Linked DNA regions of Ovis aries. The protein of the gene in region 2 interacts with the protein of the main gene of each other region in a pairwise test. Links are inferred from orthologs where the notes say so. Each region holds a gene or a part of one and is shown on either strand. Other genes may lie near its edges.

Region 1 (2,591 bases), on a different chromosome or scaffold from region 2:
ATCAGGAAGATCCCTGGAGAAGGAAATGGAAACCCACTCCAGTATTCTTGTCTGGAGAATCCCATGAACAGAGTCCATGGGGATACAAAGTGTTGGACATGACTGAGTGACTAACACTTAAACTCTAGGGTATATTATGTGTGTATAGTCAATACCCATTATGTCCAGTCTTACTTATCCTTTTTCCAGATCAATCTCACTGCCCTGAAATAACACAAAAGCACAGCATGAAAGAGGCTGTAGTTTGTCCTAACCTACAGATGAAGAAGGGCTTCCCTGGTAGCTCAGATGGTAAAGGATTTGCCTGCAATGCAGGAGACCTGAATTCCATCTCTGGGTTGGGATGATCCCTTGGAGAAGGAAATAGCAACCCACTCCAGTATTCTTGCCAGGAAGTTCCCATGGACGGAGTAGCCTGGTGGGCTATGGTCCATGGGGTGGCAAAGAGTCAGACACGACTGAGGGACTAACATGTACAGATGAATAAACAATAATGGGTTACTGGAGATATTGTGCAATTATTCACGGCAAATCCTTGAATGCTGTCATCTTCCTATTCATGTTGGTACTCTCCACTTGGTTTGGATCTTTGACATTGCTATTCATGTTCATGGGTGCTCTAACAGACAGTATTCCACGAGAGACCACTTAAAGTTCCAGGTAATTAAAACAGGAGAAAACTTCCACCAAAGGAATGAATAAATGATTTGACTTCATACTCTTCATGACCAACAGTAATTCATCTGCTAATGCCTTTTGGGTGGCCAAGGAAAATGTTCTCAGGTTCCATGTTCTGCCTCTGATTGCTTGGATTTCCTTTAGCTCTATCCTCCAGAATCTTCCCTGCATGTCAACTCCATCCCTCTGGGAGGCTGTGTCTTAAGCAATAACACTTAGGGTCACCACTGTTACTCCTGTACCTCGGTAGCTTTCCTTAAAGGTAAGACTCAATTCCTAAGTGCATTGCTATATATTTATATGTAGCCCTCCCTCACTTTTGTAATTTCCAAATTTTGCATTTGACAGGTACTTCAGAGAGCAAGAAACCACTGTATATACACTGCTTATATTCAAACTTAACTTGTCAACACCTTGCGGCTTCAGCTGGGTGCCGTGGGGCTACAGAAGTGCCAGTTCCTTATGGCTGATCCGTAATAGAAGAATTTCCCCCACTAGCCACAGATGGAACACAGCACCTACAGGTCAAGAATGAGGCGTCCTAGGTCCCTTTCCTTTTCTTTTCTTTTACATTGCTGCTTCTGGCAAAGCCACAGCTGTGTGGGGCAGCTACATGTCCGTGTTACAATGTCCTGGTGTGTGGGCTGGCCATGGAGTGAGTGGTCACAGAGGATCTTGCCTCTGGTTAGTGAATGGGCAGATGCTAAATATTTACCTGTCATTTGTTGCCAGTCTGGAACTTAGACCCGGCTAAACCCAAGGTTATTGTGAATGGAGGAAAGTGCCCACTTTAACAAAAATTCACCATTGAGCAAGAATTCCTCGTTGCAGCCAAAAATCACAGTGTTAAATCTGGTGTCAAACTTGGCAGCAGAAATGTGCTTCTGCCGGAGGAAACAGCGACAGAAATAATGTGCAAGCTTAGCATTTCTCTTTATAATCAGGATTCTTGAAAATTAGGTATTGTTGTTTCACTCGAGGGTTTACAGCTGGTTGAACTATACAAATGTACTAAAAAAAGACTGTAGACGATAAAATTTAGAATTGCAGAAATACTTGCTGTCTGAGAGAAAGACAAAATGTGTAGCTCTAACATTTGGTTTAATTCAGAAGCATTTTCTCTCTGGGGGCCACTTACCTCTAACAATACACTATTGATCATGGGGTTAAGGACCTCGGCCTTCTGGTTGCTCTGTGGAATCAAAAGTATGAAATTGACAGATTAGGTGCTCATACTCCAAGGCTTGTCAAAGTGTTAAGATGCTGGCTTTATGAGGGATCTCTTAGAGAAGAAGAGGAGAAGTGGAATGCTTACTATACATGAGGCTTCATACTTGGTGCTTCCCCTATACGATCTCATTTAATTTCCACAGAGATTTTAGGGGGTAGGCAGGGACCACGATAACTCTGATTCACAGATGAGAAAATATGAATCAGGAAGGTTGAGGAAGTTATTTAAGGTCATGTAGCTAGAAGTTTAAACTCAGACCTTTTAAACCATTCAAATCTTATATCAGGTTTGGGATTAGGGGGAGGTGAGTGAGATTGAGTTGGACAGAGTTAGCTTCAGTCTTTGCTTAAAATTTTTATATTTTGTTCATCATGACTTTTGGTATTCATTTTGATTTTTAAAATATTGCATCTATCTAGATGACTGAGGTTGTCTATTTGTCTCTTTTTGAGAGATGGTCCCCTTAAATTTGGTAGACAGGTTAAGTACCTTTACTTGCCTTTACTAGTCCCAGCCCTAGTCTGTCTATTTTTCTTTTAAATACAAGCACAGGTACTTGGTTTTAGGGTATGTCTTCTAGGTTGGCAGCAAAGTTAAAATACTCGACTATAACTTGCAAACAGGTTGGCAGATTCCAGTTTGCAAAACATGAATATATGTAAAGTGCAGAATACAGAGTCCA
Region 2 (3,655 bases):
AGGGGGTTCATGTTTGGGAACGCATGTACACCCGTGGTGGATTCATGTCAATGTATGGCAAAACCAATACAGTATTGTAAAGTAAAATAAAGTAAAAATAAAAATTAAAAAAAAAAAAAAGAAGTCATGGGACTTCAGATTGACTCCATTTTAAGTCTGGTGTCCTGACTGAATTCCTTGAATCTGGGAGTCAAGGTTCCATGGTACCAAATGGCTACTTCAGTGTGTGAGTTCAGGCCTGTGGTTCATAGAAAAGGGAGAGTGGGCAGATAGTCACCCAGGTGTCTCTACTATGCTTGAATTCTATAAATTATTCATGGAGACCACCTTTATCAAGTTAGTGCTTCATTCCTACAGAGAATTCTATAGTTCTCTCTCTCCACCACCAAAAAGCTTTATGTTTCAAACCATAGACTCTGGGGTCAAAGGGCTCTGGGTTCCATACTAGGGCCTACCTGTACATAGAGATTCACCTCTGCACTTCTGCACAGGTATGGGAAATTGCCTCCTGTTTTAAGGTGAGCCCTCCGGGCATTAGGATACAGTTTGTACATTTCTTCTTTAGCTTCAGTTGAAAGTGCACTCTGGTCAAACACCTTTAAAATAATATGAGGACAAAACTGTTATTTCAATGTGTTCTTTTCACATTAAGCGAAGTGTCCCCCCAAGCACTCCTTTCAGGAGACATGGCTGAACCTTTCTGAAGCCTGGGCCACCACCTTCTGCTCATCCCTAGTGACTCTAACTCCAAAGTAAGAAGCCCAGATTTTACTGCCAAATGTCTTTTGCATTGTTTAGGGGAAAAAAATTCTACCATGAATTTCATTTGTCCTCAAAGATAGTTAATTAAATTAACAGAACATTAATAGAAAACAATCACTGAAAACACCAATTTCAAAAAGATCATGAAACCCCAAAAGAACTTAGTATTAATTTAAAAACAGTTATATGTATGATATGCTCTGTGAAAATAATTATTGAAAAATTAAGAATATTAGATAAAAAGTCCAGGCCCTTTCCTGGGGGAGCCACTGTTGGAAGTTTGCAATATATGACTCAAGAATCTTATAATACTCACATAAATTTATGTTCAAACTCATGCAAAAATTATTCAAATAAGACAAAAAAAAAAAACAACATGAAAATAAAGATAGGTGCGTCTCCACCCTGCTAAAACTTCTAGACATTTTAAGTGACCATGTACTTAAGTGGTGAGCATAGCTTTGAAAGTGCGGGCAGAGCAAATGCACTATGAGGACCATGTATTTCTTTGAGAGTATTGACAAGCTTACTCTGTGTCATTGTAAATGCTGGAATGTAGCAATTATAATAGAAAATGGTAAGTTATTATACACGTTTGTAATAATTTCCTGATAAAAATCAGTTTTTAATTTAAACACCATATTACTTGCATTTAGGAATAAATCTATTGTGAGACAAACAGTTATATGATTAAAATAAAAAGTCAAAGCCACAGTGAGATACCACTTCACATCCATTAGGGTGACCGCTATTTAAAAAAAAACAACAGAAAATAACAAGGATATTGGCGAGGATATGGAGCAATTGGAGACCGTGCGCACTGCTCATGGGAATGTAAAATGGGATGCCCCCTGTGGAAGATGGTAAGGCAGTCCCTCTAGGAGTTAAACAGAATTATCAAATGCTTCAGCAATTCCACTTCTAGGTATGCACCACCCAAAAGCATTGAAAATAGACCCTTGAATGTGTATTTGCACACCAATATTTACAGCAGCATTATTCACAATAGCCAAAAGGTGGAAACAACTCAAATGTCTATCAACAGATGAAAGGATAAACAAACTGCGGTATATACATACAACGCAATATTACCCAACTGTAAAAGGGAATGGGTTTTAAATTTTTTAATTTATTTTTAATTGGAGGATAACTGGGTATTTTTAACATATGCTTTAACATGGATAAAGCTTAGAAATATGCTAAATGAAACAAGCCAGATACATAAGGATATTTATATGATTCTACTTACATGAGGTACCTAGAACAGGTAAATTCATACAGACAAAAAAGTAGGACAAAGGTTACTAGGGTCTCTAGGGGGAATGGTGAAGGAAGAGTTATTGTTTAATGGGTACAGAGTTTCAGTTTGGGATGATGGAAAGTTCTGGAGATGGATAACAGTGGCAGTTGGACCACACTATAAATATACTTAATGCTACTGAAATGTACACTTAAGAGTAGTTTAAATGGTGAATTTTGTTATGTGTATTTTACTACAATTAAAAGACATGTAAGAAGCAAGCTTTTGTGTTAACTAGCCTTTATGGAATTCTGGCACCTTCATTTTGCTGCCCAGATTTGTAACAGCTTAAAAAGAACAGCAAAGCAAACCAAAAGGGGTAAGGACTACCATGTTTGTTTAAATTTATTTTTATTTCAATGGTGTTATTCCTTCCAGGAAAAATACAGGATAAGCAATAAAAGATTTTTTTTGAAATTGAGAAAGCTGTGTGGGGGGCAGGTGGTAAAAACAAATTCAAGGCAGTGTTTGAAGCAACACTGAAAAATCGTAAAATGATTTGTGAGGTGGATCTTGACATGTACATATAAAAAAGGTAAAGCATCTGTTTTACTTAAAGTAAACTTACATCCATAATGGTTACAGGGATGTCCCGAATTTTATGAGGTTCCACATAAGAATTTTGACAATTCAGGGTAAGTCTTGAAGCCAGTTCACTCTGACCCAAACTTTCCAGCTGCAGGAAAAAACACAGGTAAAAGTTTTTCAAAAAAATTTTTTTTCACAATTACATTAAATCCACAGATAATATCCTATTTATAAAGGTGACATTATGTGTGGTAGGGCCAGTAAGTTAACCTCTGAGGAGACACAATGTATTTGAGACCATAACTGGGCCCTGGAAGTGGTGATATTTTCCTGTTTTGGGCACCTGGCCTTCCACAACCCTCAACCTGAGCTGCCTCTTCAACCAGGTGCCTGTGGGCAGCAAGCCCATTCCACAAGCTTAATGAAGACAGAGAAACATTTCAGTGATCTTAGAGCTGGAAGAGGCCTCAGAAAAAATATCTATCCAGTAGTTCCTACATGCATATCTACAAACTTGCTCCATCACACTGACCTGGGGAGGTAGAAGTGGAGGAGTTCCCAGAGCCCTTGGCCAGGGATTCCAGTTCAAGGTCTAGTGTGAGGCCTTAGAATCTGTATTTTTTTAATTTCCCCAAATGATTCTGATAAATTATTCAGCAGCCATAATATCCATCTGGATGTATTAAAGTTAATGTGGAAAAGTGCTTAACAAACACCTCTAATACACACTGAGCGAGACAGGTATTTCTCAGGAACCAAGAAGACATGAAAATTCCCAGGTCAAGGTGTCCCCTCCCCAAGGTCATGATCCTTACCCTGTCTACCATGAAATCAATGGCATCAGCCATCATAGGGTCCACTGGGCCAGAGGAAAAGTTCCCAAGAACTATTTTTTTAAGCATAAATGATGGCATCAGCCAAAAGCTGTAAAAAAACAAAAAAACTGACATTTAAACTTACAAGACTATACATGAGTGGCAAGCATTCATTCAATATTGAATCTCTGTATTAACTAGGCATTTGGGATTTAGAGATTTAAAAAACCCAGTCTCTTCCTTCAAAGAG

The links.
Region 1: the proteins of SPG21 (region 2) and FAM114A1 interact in binary tests that used the Homo sapiens proteins (3 or more experiments, as listed by UniProt). The two-hybrid records come from large-scale screens. The link is inferred for Ovis aries from reciprocal best matches to the Homo sapiens genes SPG21 and FAM114A1.

What each region holds. Positions count from the first base shown.
Region 1 is NC_056059.1:58,873,757-58,876,347, reverse strand, and holds part of FAM114A1 (protein NOXP20), read right to left. Parts: intron 1,871-2,591; coding exon 1,619-1,870; 3' UTR 1-1,618. UniProt on the Homo sapiens protein: May play a role in neuronal cell development.
Region 2 is NC_056060.1:11,883,894-11,887,548, forward strand, and holds part of SPG21 (maspardin), read right to left. Parts: intron 3,515-3,655; coding exon 3,406-3,514; intron 2,739-3,405; coding exon 2,631-2,738; intron 597-2,630; coding exon 456-596; intron 1-455. UniProt on the Homo sapiens protein: May play a role as a negative regulatory factor in CD4-dependent T-cell activation.